4 linked regions of the Schizosaccharomyces pombe genome follow. The gene in region 1 interacts genetically with each later gene. Each region holds a gene or a part of one and is shown on either strand. Other genes may lie near its edges. The genes, in order: hhp1, cdc24, cut12 and rec11.

Evidence for each region.
Region 2: of hhp1 (region 1) and cdc24, extra expression of one rescues a mutant of the other (dosage rescue), as found in Schizosaccharomyces pombe (one study listed by BioGRID).
Region 3: of hhp1 (region 1) and cut12, changing one suppresses a phenotype caused by changing the other (phenotypic suppression), as found in Schizosaccharomyces pombe (one study listed by BioGRID).
Region 4: of hhp1 (region 1) and rec11, changing one suppresses a phenotype caused by changing the other (phenotypic suppression), as found in Schizosaccharomyces pombe (one study listed by BioGRID).

What each region holds. Positions count from the first base shown.
Region 1 is NC_003423.3:1,854,118-1,858,535, forward strand, and holds hhp1 (serine/threonine protein kinase (CK1 family) Hhp1), read right to left. Parts: upstream 2,794-4,418; 5' UTR 2,692-2,793; coding exon 1,801-2,691; intron 1,679-1,800; coding exon 1,472-1,678; 3' UTR 556-1,471; downstream 1-555. Other genes in the region: lvs1 (beige protein 1), read right to left, coding at 1-146; mug176 (BRCT domain protein), read right to left, coding at 3,646-4,418. UniProt on the Schizosaccharomyces pombe protein: Involved in DNA repair. Has a probable role in repairing alkylated DNA and may regulate the activity of protein(s) involved in double strand break repair caused by gamma rays.
Region 2 is NC_003424.3:2,863,189-2,867,695, forward strand, and holds cdc24 (DNA replication protein Cdc24), read right to left. Parts: upstream 2,639-4,507; 5' UTR 2,600-2,638; coding exon 2,508-2,599; exon of another isoform or gene 2,453-2,507; coding exon 2,368-2,452; exon of another isoform or gene 2,314-2,367; coding exon 2,286-2,313; exon of another isoform or gene 2,222-2,285; coding exon 2,022-2,221; intron 1,964-2,021; coding exon 1,300-1,963; intron 1,255-1,299; coding exon 1,120-1,254; intron 1,079-1,119; coding exon 777-1,078; 3' UTR 542-776; downstream 1-541. Other genes in the region: brr6 (nuclear envelope protein Brr6/Brl1), read left to right, coding at 1-379; SPOM_SPAC8F11.08C (esterase/lipase), read right to left, coding at 2,991-3,047, 3,101-4,174. UniProt on the Schizosaccharomyces pombe protein: Has a role in the progression of DNA replication and in the maintenance of genomic integrity. Acts during S phase, after initiation, where it is essential for completion.
Region 3 is NC_003423.3:539,497-543,670, forward strand, and holds cut12 (protein Cut12), read left to right. Parts: upstream 1-1,659; 5' UTR 1,660-1,786; coding exon 1,787-1,793; exon of another isoform or gene 1,794-1,835; coding exon 1,836-3,475; 3' UTR 3,476-3,672; downstream 3,673-4,174. Other genes in the region: tail anchored plasma membrane protein Uvi15, read left to right, coding at 27-208, 419-464; GTP-binding protein Gtp1, read left to right, coding at 3,925-3,942, 3,988-4,056, 4,172-4,174. UniProt on the Schizosaccharomyces pombe protein: Required for bipolar spindle formation. May act as a regulator of the p34cdc2/cyclin B kinase. Required for full activation of the plo1 kinase.
Region 4 is NC_003421.2:1,222,759-1,228,662, reverse strand, and holds rec11 (meiotic cohesin complex STAG protein Rec11), read left to right. Parts: upstream 1-1,694; 5' UTR 1,695-1,737; coding exon 1,738-2,002; exon of another isoform or gene 2,003-2,068; coding exon 2,069-2,181; intron 2,182-2,196; exon of another isoform or gene 2,197-2,266; coding exon 2,267-2,365; exon of another isoform or gene 2,366-2,414; coding exon 2,415-2,764; intron 2,765-2,808; coding exon 2,809-2,953; exon of another isoform or gene 2,954-3,010; coding exon 3,011-3,793; exon of another isoform or gene 3,794-3,830; coding exon 3,831-4,246; intron 4,247-4,289; coding exon 4,290-4,575; intron 4,576-4,662; coding exon 4,663-4,977; 3' UTR 4,978-5,355; downstream 5,356-5,904. Other genes in the region: G1/S-specific B-type cyclin Cig1, read right to left, coding at 1-1,118; rei1 (ribosome biogenesis protein), read left to right, coding at 5,656-5,904.

The sequences.
Region 1 (4,418 bases):
TGTGGAAAAAAATTACTGGGAATATCATTTCGAATGAACCCCCTCAATTTTCGTAACTCTTCTAACAGAACTTTTTCTGAGGGACAACCCTCAAGCCTCGATAACAACTCAACGCTTTTAGAATAGGCATTCGCCTTTCTGTCCATAGCAGCTTACTTGAATAAAAGATAGAAGAAAGAACCTAACAAAAATATTCGTTCCTAGCCCCTGGTGCACAAGTTTCGTATTTATTTCGATAAACTCTGGTCAAGTGAGTGTATATTATGAATAGGTCATGTGAGTTGAAGCAGAGAGAAATGGTTTTAAAAAAGAAAACGATTAATATATATAATCGATGAAATTAATGAAAATTGATGCTTGCTTAAATTTATCGTTATTGAAACTGGCAATAATAGTTCGTAGTGGTTGGCGGTGAAGTATAGCGGTGATAATGATTTCTTGCCAAACGAAGTGAACTATGAAAACTTGCTGTAGAAGAGAACTACACCAAATAGATAGTAAGTAAAGACAATTTATTTCTATTTCATTTATGCTTGTTGATTTTGAAGTAGGTGTCATCATTCTAAATTCATCTTATTGATAATTCAAAAACTTACAAACAACACCTTTCTAGTTTTTTCAAGTATGTTTACAAACTAAAATGAAAAGCAAAATATTTATTATATTTAGCAAACAGAAGTGTGAACAACATCGAAAGACACTTCATGAAATGAACGCTTCAATAAAACAGTCAAGCACGAGATCATGCACCCAGAACACGAACTAAAACAAACCATTCATCCCTCGAGCATTAAGTCATTGAATTTAAACGCATCTTAAGCATCCTAAGGTTAAACGACGCTGATTAAATGAGTTCAGCTTGGAAAAGACGGTATCTATAAAGAAAAGCAGCAAATAGCTGATAATATATTATTAAAAGTATATGAATGCAATGCCTTCTAATTAGATTAAACCCCAAGGCTCATCACACATAAAAAAGTAACCAATTTGCTTATGGCGTCGTAAAAAAAAGGCTTTAAACCACGCATAATCTGTCACCAGGATTCGTGTTAAGCGAAGATAAAATTATGATCATTTCTGCAGAAAATTCTCTCACTTTTTTCTGTTCCTGGCTCGAAACATATATGATAATGTATGAATAGATTCACAGGTAGTAAAAACAAATACCAAATGTATTATTAGCAAATGTACTAATATTAAAAAATTTTTCACCAAAACTTGCCATAATGAGGATATGATCATGAGGTTAGCATAGAATTTAAGTCAACACAAGATCTTCAGCCAAATAAGCTATGAACCCTCAATAAACTATAAGCAAAGTAACTTTCGCCATCCCAAGGAAAAAGCCCTGCGCTATCAACAAAATTAAAGGACGTCTGGAGGATAAAAGGCAAGTATTGGAAGACTCCAGATGAGAAGAAAATATAAAAATAATGTGCCCATGCTATATAATAATAATATGAAAGGCTAATCAATTAGGTCTGTTGATATATTGAGCTCCGGTTGCAGATGGATCATTTATAACAGGAACGGTTGTATTAATGTCTCCGCCTTTTTCATCAAAGTTTTGTTTTTGATAATTTCTAAATGAAGACCTCTCTGGCGGCGGATTAATAGCTTGAGGAGTTGCAGACAGTTGTTGCTGTAATTGCTGCTGATGTTGTTGGTCTTGTTGAGTCTACAATTTAAATGTTAGTAAATGTGACTATGTAAACTTCATAAAATATCATATTACATTGGTTTTCAATAACTCGGAAACCCAGAAAATAAAAAAAGCACTATTACCAAGATATCTCATACCTTTCTCTTCAAGGTCCAATCAAACATATAGTCAAACTCATAAGATTGCCGACAAAAAAGATCTCGGAAAAGCTTGCGAAGGTAGGCGTAATCAGGTTTGTCATCGAAACGTAAAGATCTCGTGTAATTGAGATAAATTGAGAACTCCTGAGGGAATCCCCGACATAAGACCTCTGTAGGCGTAGAGATCTTCTTCTCCATAATCTTTTCATACTTTTGCTTTTTCGTGGTAGCCTTCAATCCCTGCCAAGGCAGGCTACCACGACAAAAGTAGACGAGCACATAACCTAAAGATTCGAGGTCATCACGGCGGGATTGTTCAATACCTAAATGAGTATTGATGCTAGCATAGCGTGCAGTACCTGTAAGATTCTTGTTCTCGCGATAAGGAATGTGCAGGTGAGTTTTGTGATCACGATACTTCTTAGCCAATCCGAAATCAATTATGTTAACTTGATTTCCTCTTTTACCTATTCCCATTAAAAAGTTATCAGGCTTAATATCACGATGAAGAAAAGATTTTGAATGAATGAATTCAATTCGAGAAATGAGCTGGTCCGCAAGGAGAAGAACTGTTTTCAAAGAAAACTTTCGATTGCAAAAATTAAACAAGTCTTCCAACGAAGGACCCAATAAATCCATCACCATAGCGTTGTAATCACATTCTACACCGAACCAACGAACAAACGGGATTCCGACCCCTCCTGACAAAATGCGATAAACTCTGTATTCATACTCCAATTGAGGGTGTTTAGCACGAGTTGATTCTAGCTTGATAGCGACCTCTTCACCAGAAACGACATTAGTCCCAAGATAAATGTCTCCGAAAGATCCACTGCCAATTTTACGACCAATGCGATACTTGTTCCCAATCCGGAGGTCCAAAGCCATAATAATATTATAACGCTTTTAAGGCTAAAGGCACTCGCTTTTTCTCTCCAATATACTATAGATTGAAATTGAATGATGTGGTTGAGGTAAAAGTAGGGGTTCGAAAAAGTAGAGCAAGTTAGGTAACGTAGAAGTAAAGAACTTAAAGTAAACATAACGAGAGTTAGCATTGCTTTATCAAAATAACGATAATAAATTATAATACAAAAAAAATTCGCTATGCGATTAAATTATAATAGATAGTGAATTTGCGAATATTGATAGTTTACGATGAATGTAAATAAAACATACCTACATACATTCGTACATCCAATATCTATTTTTAGAATGGGAGCGTGATGCTTTTCTTGGTTTCTATTTTATCAATTACCATTTACTGAAAAATGTAAAATGTAAGGTATGGTTTATTAACACTAAGAATAAAAGGCTAATAAAATGTGTCCTTTATAACAGACTCTTCCTTGTAATCTATATACAAAATCTAATAATATTTGAGCCCCAGTAAACGAATGATCTAAAAAGATAGAGAAAATTCGGGTTCTCAGACGAAAATAAAAGCTGTAAGATACACTGTCTTTCCAGTTGAAGCGAAAAAGACCTCCAACCGAATATTGGAGTGCGAAAAAATAAAATGAAAGAACATTTTAAAACAATAAGAAAACCTTTTTCGGAAATTTAATATTGTAGTTCTTTACATAAGAAAAGCGAAAAATGCAAGGCATTTTTCTGTTCTAAATAAGAGTTGACTAATTCTCCATTGAGATTATAAATAATTTGGGTCAGGATTGTGACGACTGAGCGAATAGAATAAAATAAAATAAAATAAACTGACAATGGGCAGGATAAAAGAAAGGGGAAAAACACGCAAAACACTGATCTAACAATATGTACAATGAGCAGTGCGGAATTAAACTTGTAAATGAAAGAGAGTAATGAAATAGAAAGACAAGGCACTTAGAAATCTATAAGACTAACCTTCTTTTTTAGTGGAGAGCCAATTAACGGTTTGTAAGCTAGATACTTCTTTTTGGCAGACTCTAAATGAGTCATCTCTAAATCCGTCGTAATTTTGAAAGACGAAAATAGATCAGCCGTTGGAGATAGCGATATTTGAGAAATGGTTTCTGGATTATTTTCTCGTTGAGCGTCATTGGACATAGATGACTCATTAGAATCACTGCAAGTAATGAGACCAAACTCATAATCATCGGACAAAGTTTGATCCAAGAATGAGTCGGCATTAAAACAATGAGAATCAGGAGACCCATTAACGAATGGTTCTAAATTTTCTGCTTGAGTATCGAAAAAGAAGGCATCAGAAGGGTCCTGAATCATTTGCGTGTCAGTGAAAGGATCAAGAGGATTCAGCAACTCCGAGTCATCAGTCTGTAAACATTTAGTTTGCAGTATATCTTGAGGATCAACTAAGTACATTTCCTCGTCGACTAAATACTTAGATGAGTAACAAGCCAAAACCCATTTAGGAGATACACAAACGATTGGGACTTGAGCAGAACTAATTTTCTTGAGAGTTTCTTGTGAGCAGTCGTAGAGTACTGCGTGAGAAACGGGATTTTCCTCGGTCATTTGTAAAGACGCATGAACAGTTGCGCCCAATAGACGCAATTGTTCAGTAACGATTTCCATTGAAAACATACCTTCTCCGATTTCAACGTAAGCATGGACAGAGCTCAAAGGGAATTTTTGTTCTGTTTCATTAATTTTTG
Region 2 (4,507 bases), on another chromosome or scaffold:
TCTTTCTATTAACTGTGACTCTCCAGGACCTGCTATTTTTGAAGTTTGTCAAAAACTGAAACAATGTAAAATGGAAAGTTCTAATAATGTCGGTTCTACAAAGTTGGCAGCGTTAGTTTTTGCTGAGATTATAGACGCTTTTATAAGTCATATTTCTTATAAAACTATGGTTTTTTCCCTCATTCTTGTATTTGGAAGTCTACTAACATCCAATTACGCCTTTGGTCTTTATAGAGCTAGACATTCTCAAAATATCCACGATTATGCTGCCAACGCTATCCCGGCGATGATACCGTCCAGTAGATTCCTTCCTTCCAATCTTTCTGATATTTCCAATAGAAACCTTATCGAAGCTGCCTCTCAGGAGGAAGAAATTTGAACGTCTTCATTTTTCTACTAACCTCATTTTTCTTAAAATCATTTTTCATCACTTTCATTTATATCATTACTTTGAACGTTATTGGTATGCTTTCTAATTTGGCATACAAATTTCGTTATTCGGATTCATTTTCTTTTATAATTTTGTTAATTTAGCTGTTCATTGTATCGTATTGCTTTGTTTCTCACAAGGGTGAGCCAATTAATATTCTAACTTTGAATTTCTTTTTTGGAAAAATGCATTATTTATAAGCCTTTTAAACTGTAGTATATTAGTAAATTAAGCAAACTAAGCTTTTAAAACGGAGAATGATTGAATGAACTGTACATCTTTTCATTCAAACATTCAATGTTTGATTTTTATTTGTTAGACATAATTATTCAGATAATGGCGATGGCTATTCACACGGCAGAGAGTTTATTTTTTGTATATGGCAGTTGTGTTCTGAGTCCACATAAATATCACACCAATGGAATCCGAGCTTGTACGACTTCAAATCCAGGTATATTGGAAATTCCATTTCTTTTTGGAATAATTCTTTAAAGCCGGAAATCATAGACGCAAAATATGAAACACAATTCGGTCGTAAAGCTGCCCAAAAACTATTCCTTAAACAGTCAATTACCTCCATTTTTGCTGTTAATGGATTTACTTCCGGCAAGACCAAACTGGTATTTAAATCAGATTGGCGGGTTAAATCTATCATTCAATTAGTATTTCGTAAAACAAGCAACCCTTACTCGCTACAAATCCGGTGATCACCAAAGTTAACGGTTGAATTTTTAAATGCCCAGAAACACCTGAAAAAAGGTTGGAGAACTTGCATAAATCATTTCTCAAAAAGTTTGAGGATAACGGGTTCTCCAAGTTTGACACTAAAATAAATCAATATTCAATCCCATAAATTTACCATTTCTTACGAATTTCAGTCGTTGTGTCACTAACGCATGAATAATCACTTAGATTGTCAGAAGAATGATTGATTGGGCTAATGCATAGCAAATCTCCAATATAGGTATCCTTGAAATAATGCTTTTGAGAATTGGAATACAATATCTTCACTCGCTGACCATTGTTATCCAGTACAAGAAAATTTGAATTAACGGCAGCTAAGCGTCCCACTTGCCAGGAGTCGCATTTTTTTTCTTCAAAGTCATTCTCACTTAAAATTACCAAAATACCGATCATTCCATCCTGCCAGTTGGTACTGCCTTCCCAAACGGTACTCCAAAATGGAATAAGTAGGTATTGTTGCTTGTCTAGCAGCTTAGGGAAATCATGGTAAGTCCCTGAGAAATGTATAAAATTGGTATTGTTGTCTATAAGAAAAGCACCTTTTTTGTCTAAAGAAATGATGCGACCCAATTCCACAGTAATTCGTTTCACACCTTGATCACTTTTGCTTATAGTAATATCACGTATTTGAAAGAATTCATGTTCAGTTGATTCAACCATTGATTTCACAAAACTTTTTGATGCAGCATATTGCAATACTGGAACAAAGCTAGTTGTAGGAAGGAAACGTATTTGCTTTCGTAAATACCATTTTTGATGGATGCGTGACTGAGAAAAGCGTAAAGTTGACTAAATAAAGGTCTTAGATAATCACTGTTATAAAGGAGATGATATTCAAAAACCTTACACCTTTCAAAATGTTAAATGGTTCATGGAAGAGTAAATAAAAACTGGAATGCAAAATCATTTCGCACGTATTCTCCTCACTATCTTTCAGCTTCAAAGACGGTATTGGGGTATAATAATAATCATAGCAATGAAAATGAAACTGGTCTTCCAAATAAATAACTGCATCTGATTTCGTTAACCATTCCAAAGAAGAAAAAACTGTTTACAAAAAAGGAGGTCAATATCTCTTTATACCAAAAAAAAAAGTAAACTTTCTCGTTACCATTGTCCAATTTATTTCTCTCCGAGCACTACGTTCATGCATGTCAGATTTTATCGACTTGTAGAGTAAGTAGATTCCTTACCGCTAATTCAATCTCGTTAATTAAAATGGGATAGCTAAACCCTGAGGGATACTCCTTTAACAAGCTGATAGTTTTGTTTATTAACCTAAATTGTCAGTAGCCACTCTTTACATATGCGTTAACTTTTAGCATCTACTCACCAGTAATCAGTGAATGCTGGTTGTTTAGATTTCTCAACTAAGCGGTTTTCTAGATCTTCTTTTATTTTTTTAATCAGACCTGGAAAATCCATATAATCATTAAATTTACTACTGCTCTAAGATTAGTAGTTGATAGAATATAGATAATTGACAGCTGCCTAAATACTCCATTTAGTATCATCTGTTTTTATACTGTTACGCCTAATGATATTGAACAATACTTATAAAATTTTTACAATTTAAAAACTTGTTTGCTGTCATTATTTTTGTTATTTCATATCACAATCGAAATTTTAAGTAAGAAGACACAATAAACAGCATATAACCAAATATAATATTTAATTCATTTAAAACAGATATCTATCCGGTTTTGGGATGCTTGTCAAAAAAGATGAAACATCTAGCAAACAAAAAAGCATATGCTTGTAAAATATTAAAACAAACTTAAAACTACCCATCTAGAGAAGGAATGCACTCGTAAAATTAAATTGTTTTCTTATTATCTTCTACTAAGAAGAACCAACGTGCGATGAACGTAGCCTGGCGGGTTAGTAAACGATTAACGAAATAAGGAATTTACTATATTGACATACCGTTGAGATTGTTCTTGGAGAAGTAAATTCATAATAATAAGGGACAGCACCAGGTACAACAAAATTTTTAATCAATGATGCCTTTTCGGATGATTCTCTATCATTACTGTCGCTAACCGGATTGACATCTCCAGCATGTAATGTCATCATAGGAATAGTGGATTGATTTGTCCACACTAAATTTTGAATAGAACGGGGACACAGAGCAAAAATGCCTTTTACAGAGTTTGGTCGAATGTGTTTTAGACTCTCAAGAGCGACAGACGCACCAGTATCTTCACCTAGGAAAAAAATACGTTCTGGATCTGCATCATAATAGATGGCATTCTCTACTATCCAATCTACACACAAAGATACAAATTCGACGGCATCGGAAAGGGGAAATTTTGGAGGCTGGGCGTAATTGGGAACCACTACGAAGAAGCCTAAAGATGAAAGGTAGGGAATGATAATGCTTTCGGATTTCTTAGCACCACAAACCCAAACAATAACAGAAGATGCGGATGCAGATTTTGGAGGTGAATAAGCGTTTAATAAAAGGTGACTTTTGTAAACGAGACGCTCAGCATTATTTTTGGCTAAAAGCCAGTTAGGAAGATAAGAGATGTATGGGTAGCGTTTGACGGTTGTCCCATGTAAATCATTGATAAATAACCTACTGAAGCATTTTGCAAGTGAGCTATTTTTTTGCTGATCGCGGTTACCGATGCTTGGTTCAAGAGATGCGGGTAATTCAGACTCGAGTTTTCGGGCGGCAAGTACATTAACAGCGGCCAAAGCAAACAAGGATCCAAGGCCAAGCATATCAACAAAAAATATTTTGTCGTAGAAAGAAGAAAATTGGGCACCCATACGCTCAGCAATTATAGTAGCAACGAACTTAACGCTTGCCGCTTCTAAGCTTTTCTCTGAAACAAAAGCAAAAAAAGAAGCAACATTTGATTCAGATGCACCGATGACTATCTTGGACAACAACTTAACCAAAAATTTGCGAACTTCCAGCTGGTATGCTGAAAGAATCACAAAAGATGAAAGTACTACCCAAATAGAATAAAGAATCGTCGCAAACCCCATTACTACATGGAATGATTTTTGTCTCAATACTAAATTGGTTAATATAATGTGTGAAAAATAAAATAATTTCAGTAAATAATCATGTCTGTTTTCGTTCTGATGACTTTCAATTGAAGAAATTACGAAGTCCACATTGGGAGAAAAAGCATAAATACGAACCAACCCTCAAGACCCCTGCACGGTAATCATCGTGTCACTCAGATATCCATTTCTATTTAATTTAGAGATTCATCAAACCAAAAATGATCTGGTACACTATTTTTGAAACATTATGCGCATTTGGTATCATCATCGAGTTGGGCATTAACTCAATAGCACAGCCAAACATAGAAC
Region 3 (4,174 bases), 1.3 Mb from region 1:
GATTTTACTAACAGCTTCAATTTTAGGCCCCTGCTCCTCCTCAACAAGCTTATGGAGGCCCAAACTATTATCCTCCTCAACAAAATTATCCTCAACAAGGTTATGCTCCTCCACAAGGCTATCCTCAAGGTGGATATCCTGCTCAGCAACCTATGTATGTTCAGCAACCTCAGGCCAGTGATCCTGGTGGCGATCTTTGCTGTGGTCTGTAAGTATAAAGAATGGGCGCGTAGAAGACGTCGAAATTGCATTGGAACGGTGAAGCACACTCTTAATTTTGAAAGGTGAATGGGGTATTCTTTATTGAATTAGGTCATTACGTCAGTCGATTAAAGTTGCTTTGGCGTTCCTTTCGAATAGTTCCCTGTTGAACTGTGTTTTGCTTTACCTTTTTCTCTTTACTAACGACTGTTTTTAGATTGACCGGTCTTGCTTGCTGTTGCTGTTTGGATGCAATGTTTTAAAAAACTATTTGGCTTGTTCTTTCTACTTTTCTCGAAAGAGAGCATGCACCACTGATTAAACTAAAAGCCGTGTTTATTTTCTGACTTGAGTGCAATTAATGATTGTTGGTTATTTTTTCATTAATTCCCTCGCCAGCAAACAACTTTATGGCGAGGATTTATTTATTTACATTGGTAAAGCGTTGGTCGAATAATTATAGATCTTGATTTTTCTGTACAGAGTGTCGTCTCACTTTTTGAAAATTGCTATTACCCAACCGTTTAATTTCAGCTTCTTTTCTTCGAAATTAAAACCTTTAGTTTTATGATGGACTGTCTTTTCTATTTTTTAAGCGCAAAATCTTTTACAGCATCCATTGGTCTAAATCGTTCTTTATGAATAATTTTTAGTTTGGATTAGTTGAAATGACTCGTCCTGAAAAAATTCGCATGTTTATTTATCTTGCTTACCCTGAAGGGGCAATATGTGTGTTTCGTTTTTAGCTAACCTTTCTATGGTTTGTCTACTTTTTTGCTGCTCGTTATATGTTGTGTATTCTGTTTAGTATGCTGTTGTTTTCTTTTAGTGTAGATGAACTCTTTAGATTTCCCAATATGTTTAAGTTTGATAGAGTCGGTTTTTGATCGATACGTATAAGAATTCCTTATTTGTTTTTTAAAAAGATTTTAAAAGTAAATTGAGGCATATATCTTACGTAAAAAGTTTAAAGTTTCTAAGATTTGCTTTGACTATTTCAAACAGGTAGATAGATGCGTGCTTTTTCTATGGTGGAAATACGACAAACTTGTTCACGAAAATGAAGCTCAACCATTGCGACCCCCCTTGATTCAAATGCTATGAATTTGGATGCGCAAGCTCGTTAAGACAAAAATTGCCATATGACTTTTATTGCAATGAGCGCTATATCTACAAATACTCAATATCCTTTATCAATTACCCATCTATAAGTATTATTTATAATCGTAGTAGTAAATGTATTTCATTGCAGCTATACTCTACTTCCTATTCAATTACCTCCTCCATATAGCGAAAAGACCGTTCACGATATCACAAAGTTTATTAACATACAATAACGAGTTCACATATTAAAAGAAATATGACGATACGCAGTGTGTAAAATAGTGTACTGAGAGGACGTCCAATGTAACATGCGATCGGGTTCTTTATTAGTTTGTTGTGTTTGTGCCATACGTTGAAAACCACCGAATTGGGAAATATTGTTAAAGTTGGGTTGTTTGGACATAATTTTGTTAAATTCGTTTAAATTATTTATATTTTTAATTATATTTTTACATGCAGAACAATTCAGAGATCCGATAGAATGTCAGGTAAGGAATTCCTATGTAAACAAAGCTAATCTCAAAATTTAGAAACTTTGAACACTCCGCCAACATATGCATGGGTTTTGAAAGCATTTTCTAGTAAATTAGCAGGAACTGTGACGAAGCCTGTTACAAAAATGTCCTCTTACATTGAGGATGCAGAATCTGATGCAGAACTTCCGCAAGACGCAAAAGAAGACCTGCGCCCAACTGAGACATTAACTCCGTTAAAAAGTAAAGCAGCACAAAATGGGATTTTGAAAACTCCAGGTACTTTACAAATAAAGAAGACCGTCAATTTCAAAGATATTTCAAAAGATGCTGCGACGTGGAATCGTCCAACGAAAAATAATTTCTTATTTACGAGATTAGATGATGAGAATCCTTTAATGGGTCATGAAGAATTCAAATCCCCTTTGTTACAGAGTACTCCAAAACCGAATATTAATAATCCGGATAATGAAAACAAAAGTAAGCATGACGAGTTTGATAATCGCTATAATATTAATATCAATGAATCCTATAAAAATGAGACAAAAAGCAATCAGAGATTAGGCGAAGATGTCCCTTCAAAGAAAAAATATCCTCACTCGATGGATGCCGAGATCTCTAAATTCAAATGGGATAGTAACAATAATAATGACTGGTCAAGTTTAATGAAGGATTGCTTTCGAGATGTTGTGAACAATAATCGAAAAATGAAGGAAATTATTAAAGACGTTATGATTGACACATCCCAAGCTTTTCCCTCTGAGAGCTTGGATGAACCTGACTATACGATAAACCTTGATGCGCCTCGTTCCTCTTCAGGAAAATACTGGAAGCAAAAGTTTAGTATGCTAGATTCTGCTCATTCGGATCTTGAGTTAGAATTAACCTCTATCCGTGAGCGTTTGGAATCCTTAATTTTAGAGAAACAAGAGGAAATCAATTTTTGGAAACAACGTTGTCGAGCTTTAGAAACGGAGAAAATCCATAATCATCAAGGACAACAGTCAAAATACAAAGGCAAGGAATTCGTTGGAAATAGATTTAGCCAAATGAGGGAGCTTTATACTGCTAAGCCAAGTCCGATTACTACTAAAGTTGTTTCTAGGCCATCCCAATCTGATGTGCGTGAGCCTCAAGAACAGGTTCCTTCCAAGAATTTACATCGGGGAGCAGATATGTCGCATTTGGCAGCTCAAATGCTGACTCATTCATCAAAAAAGTCCCATACGACAAACCTAATACCTTCTGAAGGAATAATTTCATCAACTCCTATTTCCGCAGCTTCCAAAGTACGTATGAATTTAATGCAGTCTAATCAAACTCCTACACCTGCTCCATTTTCAATAGCAGCAAAGAAGTCCCACTTACCGTCGAAACTTAGTTTCCCACAAGATGGTGGTAGCTTATCTTCTGCTACTACCTTGCAGCAATTGCCAAAAGCAAGAGTGACGCCAAACGTGTTATCTTCTTTAAGCTCAAACCTTGGAAAAACAAATCCAACGTCAGTATACCAATCAAAAGCGAACGTAACTACAAGTGCTGATGTTGAAAAACCACAAGTTAAAGTTGCAACTAGTTCTCGCGTGGATTATGATTTGAAGAGTCCAAATCAACGTACTGCGAATGCAAAGAAAAGATTAGAGGAAAGGAGAAGACGAAGGAAGTTGAAACTTCAAGAACTTCAGTTGAATTCCTGAAGGTATAATTTTACTAGATCGATATTGTATAATTAGAATGCATATCCTTTTTAAGTAAAGGACTGGAGCCTTAGTTTCATTTATTTTTGTTGAGGAAAGGTGTGTGCATCAAGTATTGAAAATTAACTATATTCCTTTCGAGAATTAAATAAAATATAAGTCCATTATTAATATTAACTCAAATTACTAATTTTTAGTATAAATGATGGATTCATTATAAGAGGCTTGTAAAAGGCCGTATTAGTCGTGGATATTGTAATTTAATTTCATCTTTTCATGCAGTATTTTACTAGAAAAACATTCAGCTGTACATTTAGATCGTAAGCTGACTGGAAGAATTCCATCTCCTCAACCTCCATTTGAATCTTGTCTTAGGCCATACGCAGTAAAAACTTGAAAGTAGCAACAATTTCATATTACCACACTACGATAGGTTATTAAATGGGAAAATGGGTGTCTTAGAAAAAGTAAATAAAAATATCTGCCGTTATATACTAATCTAAATTGGCTAGATTCAAGAGATTGAAGCTGAAATGCGCCGGACGCAAAAAAATAAGGCGACGGAGTACCATCTTGGTTTGGTAAGTTTTTTTAATTCATTTCTAACTGGAATGCCTTTTATTTTATAGCAAATATTACAATGTTGTTCCAACTTATAAAGAATCAACTCTAAATTAAACTAACCTAGTCCTTTAGTTG
Region 4 (5,904 bases), on another chromosome or scaffold:
CACGGTTTCAATTGACGAGCCGTGTACCCACTATAATATACATGGCAAGGAGTCCAATCCAAATGACCCAACATCTGCATAGACAAGTAGTAGGCAGTAGCAGCAATGAAGCTAATATGGGCACCTATAAAAATTTCATCCATCAAGGTTACTTCTTGAAGATATTTGGCGAGCATGCGAATGTCGTGATCGTAAGAATCAGCTCGACTTATACGACGCAAAAACGACATGGGCCCTGGCCAACTAATGTCAAAATCCAAAAGCATCAGCATATAGCGCTCGGCTCTAATGATTTCGTCAACGGTGAAGATCCCTTGGACAACATGCGCAAAGTTGTAGATGCTTGGAGGGTGTATCTCTTCATACTTACAGGCAATCAGCAAAGCTGATAAACCTACCAACTGGACTTTTTGCAAAGATACGACTTTTATGGAAAGAAACCGGTCGATAAGGTTTACCGCCAAAAATAATGTCTCAGGAAGTAAACGAAAATGTATTTGAACTTGCACAATCCAATCAACAAGCATATGTCTTGTAACCCAGTCAATCTCTTGCTGAACTGACATGTAATTAGGAGGTGGAGCCAGCTTCCTTTCCAAAGATTGCATGTAGTGAAATATCTCAGGATCATAGTCTGGTACCATGGATGGATCAGTTTCTATATCCTCAGGCGATGGGTTAGCTTGTAATCGAGCAGCAGCTTCAGACAGGGCGGCTAAATCTTCCTTGGTCCACTCGGGAATTGTTGGTAGTCTATGCTTCCCGTGTGTAAGAATTCCTTCAGGTGCGTCAAAGCTGCCCTCACGGTTTTCCAAATCATCATCTCCAATAGACTTAGGAGTGGAGCGAATTGACCGTTCCTCTATCTCGACTTTGTCCTGGTATGCAAAATCCTCTTCAAAAGTGTCGCCAGTGGACGAAGAGATGGAGGATTCATTATTCCCTTCAATCAATGTTGGTTCATCTTGTTGATTGATGTTATCTACTGCCTTGAAAGGTGCACGAACACCCGTATTTAACTTGATGTGACTTTTCTTCTTCACATAAATGTGATCCTTTTGTAGCTGATTCTCATCTTGAAAATATGTTGCGTGTCTTGTTTGAGTCGAAACGTCCATTAGTAAACCAGCACACACTTGTTTAGAAAGTTTTGGACATGCGATGAAAGTCGGTTTTCAAACTGCCTTTTACTCAGGTAGGAACCCTAGTCTTCTCTTTGGAAAAGATCCTTAAAAATTTAGATGCTTTTCGACTTCTAAAAATTCGAAAAAATGACTCTACACCCAAATATATGAAGATACTATTGAACGAAGGATTCGAGGAAAGTAATCTTTTGGATTGACCAGAAAGATTAGTACTACAACAGTACAAGAACTAAAAATCTCAAATGAAACCAACGAACAAGAGTATTAACCAAAAGTTGGAGTAGGACTTTGCAAAGGAATACCGAGCTACTACTAATGAGAAAAAGGAGTTGGTGGGTTCTCAAAAGGGGTCAGGGAAAAGCCCGAAATTCCGAGTAAAAACGCGTTCTTATTCATAAATTAGTTACTTTATGTTTCAAAAGTAAAACTTTAATAAATTATTATATACTTGATTGCAATGGTTGTATGTGAACTGCAAAATAATTAATGACTGACTGACGCGACTCGTGTCACGTAAACAAACCCATCGTTTCTGTTAGATTAATCTTTGCCATAACCAACCACCATCGTACCAATTAATTGAGTGATTTCAATGAGATTCGAATTTGAATCAGATGCAAGCAGTCATCTCAATGAAGTCCTTACTGAATTAGAAAGCGTGGAGCTTGAAAATGTTGAATATGAAGGTCCAAGTTTACAGAATGTCAGCATTTGTGCCTCGCCCTCAGAAAAAAAGCGGAAATGGGGAACACAAGATGAATTTTCTTTGACGGAGAATGAAGAAAATAATGAAATAGAGACGAATGAAGAGATGCACGTAAATTCTCATGATTATGCCTTTCCACAAGAATTTTTTCGTAAGTTTGCTTGCTTATAAGAGAAAAAAAGTCTTCGATAATATATTCTAACAAGCATACGAAAAGTCAAACTGTTGGATATAGATATGCCGCTCGAGCAACTTTCTCAACATTATTTTGAAGACTATAAAAGTAATAGCGCTGACTTCATGCTGACCTTTATAAATTTCGCATTAGTTGTAAGTTTAGCAGGAATGATCCGCGACGTTTTCTAGCTTTTGCTGTTTTGTTTACTCTTCCTTTGAAACGTAAACTAATTCATAGGCCTCTGGTTGTCAACCCTTCGTTACGAACTTTGATGTACAGGACGTAGATTCAATTCCTGAAACATTGTCTCAGGTCAATCGTTCAAGTTTTCAAAAGGTGTGTGCATCATCTTTTTGTAATATTTACTTACCATACATATCGCTAGTCTTCTTGCGCTTATACTGATTATCTTTATACTTCTAACTCTAAAGAAGCTAAAACGGTGCGTATTCGTTTTCAGCTTTTTTTGGTCGAATTCATCAGTAAAGTTTACGTGGAAGACGCATTCCTCGGAGACTCATTCATGGAAACTACAAAAGCTTGGATTTTTACCATGACGACAAGTCCTTGGATGCTTGTTAGACATACTGCAACAACTATTTGCTGTGATATCATGCGATGCTTATGCCTTATAGTAAACAAACTTTCCGAAAAATCAAATCAAACTGCGGAAATTCTGGTACTGAGAGACTTAACATCTAGGTTCATTGACATGATTCACGACATTTGTGATAGGTTGGCAATACTACTTTTCTTAACGACTCTAACCTTTTTACTAGTGTACTATTCTCAAGGATTCATGATATACGTGCAAGCATTCGTATAGTGTGTGTTACTGCTCTATATGATTGTTGCCAATTGCTTCCCACCTATCTTATAAACAGAAATTTGATTAGACATTCTGGCTGGGGGTTATCTGATGCAGTAAGTGTATAAACAATCGCTACTGCTGTATCATTTAAATACTAACTGAACGTATAGGAATCACAAATCCGAAAAATCTCCTTAAAAATAATAGATTATCTTTCTTCTCATGAACCTGAAAAAGATCAAGATTTTGTGGTTGATTTTCTTGACAGATTCTCGTTAAGAATTGTGGAGATATGTCGGTACGATATTGATTCTGTTCGATCTGTTGCCCTCAAGACATGCGAGAAACTGATGGAGAAAATATCGTTGAATGGAAAATGTATCAATATTGTTTCTAGCTGCATATTTGACGGGAAGCCCCAGAATCGAATCTCGACAATGCGAATCCTCGTTGCCCATACTAATGAACGCTACGCAAATTATTGTGAAGCAAAGACTGCAACAATCAGCTTATCAAAGCTCTTAAGGCGTGAAAAAATCCCATTGTTAGTTTCCAGCTTTGAAAGCCTATTCAAAATGAATGCGTTATTATTCATACTTGAGCAAGGATTTGAATCTTGGTTCCGTGATAGCAGCGATCACATCTTTTCGCGTGTGAAAGACGATGACAAATTTGTATATCAGTCGCAGGAGAATAACTTTTATGATGCGGATTTCATACGAGAATATGATATGAATAATCATAGGCAGCAATTAATTGAGGAAAGCATGCATTCCATTCATACAAACTCACAATTACTTGCCAGTTGGGAGGATGTTGCAAAGCTCTTGCTTTATGATCGCTTTGATGCAAAAGATACTAACAGTGTCTTAAACCCCTGTATACCGAGCAACGCAGTGATAGAATTTTCTTCTATCTATCTCCATTATTTTGCAACACATATTAGCAAAAGAGTAAGTTATTTAAAGCTTCATATTACTAAACCTCTAGTCGAAGAAGCCAGGTAAAAGACTTGAAGATGAGGTCGTAAACCAACAGCAAGCAATGTTACGAAACCTTCCATTACTATTACAGAAATACAGAGAATCTTGTGTTTCATCATACTTTTTTATAAAATGCGTAGAGCAAATTCCTGACGAGCTTCTTTATAAGAGAGAATTTCATAAGGACTTTTCAAAGTTGTATAAAGAAATACTGGATATATTTAATTCAACTACCGTTAACTTCCTGATGATTTTGTGCAGCAGATTCTTCCACCGATTGGCGGTCAACAAAGTTGTACAGGAAGATATATTATTTGCCATTGACAATGTATATAATGATTTAGCAGAAAGTTTACACGAGCAACTCAATGCATACATTCAAAGAAAAAAAATAAACAAAAAAAATCAGTTGAATGGCAATGAGTAAGGATTTTTCTTTTTGTTATTAGATTGCTAACTTTACAAGTGAAACGCAAAACTTGGTTTTAGCTTTAAATAAGTTTGGATGCTTTGCAAAGGAAATGGTCTGTCTGCGAGACGTCAATGATTGGAACATTAAACTGTCAGAAAAATTATGCGAAATTTGTAGTCTTGAAGTCGGTCCTATCGTCTGTTATTCTTCTTTGAAAGTTTTATTTCTTCTTCTGCTTTCTGATATGAGAGATAGAAACTGTATTTTTACAAATATATTTTTAAAAGCAGCTAAGGTTGCGAAGCAAAAAAATGGAAACTCCTTTTTAAGCAAAGTTTTCGTAAGTCTCTAATGTTGCTGTCTATCTATCTTTTATGACTGTTGATTTCAATCACATTTAGTGGAGTAAAATGCTAACTATAAGCAGATTACAATTACGATGCTTACATTGTTTCTTGGATCAAAGGCAAATAATTGGGATATAAATTTTAGTGACGATGACTTGAAATTGATGAATGAAGAAGAAATCATGGAACAAATTGAAACTTTTAAAGCATGGTCAATGAAATTTAAAGAGAAATCATCTGGAAACCCTTCTTACTTTTTTTCACCCGAAGATACTGAGGAGAAGGAATTATGGAATAATCTGTTTGAGGATTGGTATCCCAATCGTGCTAGAGATCCTGGAACACTGAGTCATTTAGTGAAAGGTTTAAAAGAAACAGCTGACCATTTATCATAAAACGAAATTTTAACACTAATTAAACCCCGAGGGAAAAGAGATAAGAAAGCACATGTGCTAACTTTCTTATTGAGGCAAGGAAACTTATTAAACAAAAGGAAAAGACATTAAACTCTATTATGTATTTCCTATATGATTATTCCAACGAAACTAACTCAAAAATACCTCAATTTCAAATACTCAATTTTAATTAAACCCTGAAGAGTGGGAGCTCGTGTGCTCGCTAAAACTACAATGCATGCCATTTCTTTCTTTCCAGCCCTTTGTCTATATATGAGTTTTCTTAGGACTTACTGGTTAATCAAAAGGTACGCCTTATGTTACTAAGCAATAGAAAATGTTTTTGAGGGATGCATAAATTAAGTTTAAAAAAACAAGACATTAAGATGTTTAACATATCAATTAATTTTATTTGATTTCAATAAAATTGATAATTATTTGACACTTTAAAATAATTTGGTGGTGCTACAAGTTATGTAGGCAATAGTTGATCGTAGGCAAGTTGGATTCAACCAACACCTTTTTGTGCAAGGTATTGTAAAAAAGGGTTGACTTCATCTCATTAAGTTAGTTTGAGTCAAAGAATATATTTGAGGAAAGACTCGGCTTCAATATCAATTTTTTTTTCGATAAAAAAGTGTACTGGCTAAGAATTGAATTACTTGACAGAATACCGAAATGTCGACTTCTTTTGCTTGCACGACTTGTACTGTGGCTTTCAATAATGCAGAATCACAGAAAATACATTGGAAGTCTGACTGGCATCATTATAATCTGAAGAGAAAGGTTGCTAGCTTGCCGCCGTTGAGTGCTGAGGTGTTTGCTGGAAAGATTTTGTCCATTCAAAAGCAGAACGAGGAAGTCCAGAAAAAAGCAGAATTTTATCAAAACTGTGAAGTATGTAATAAAAAGTTTTATTCAGAAGGC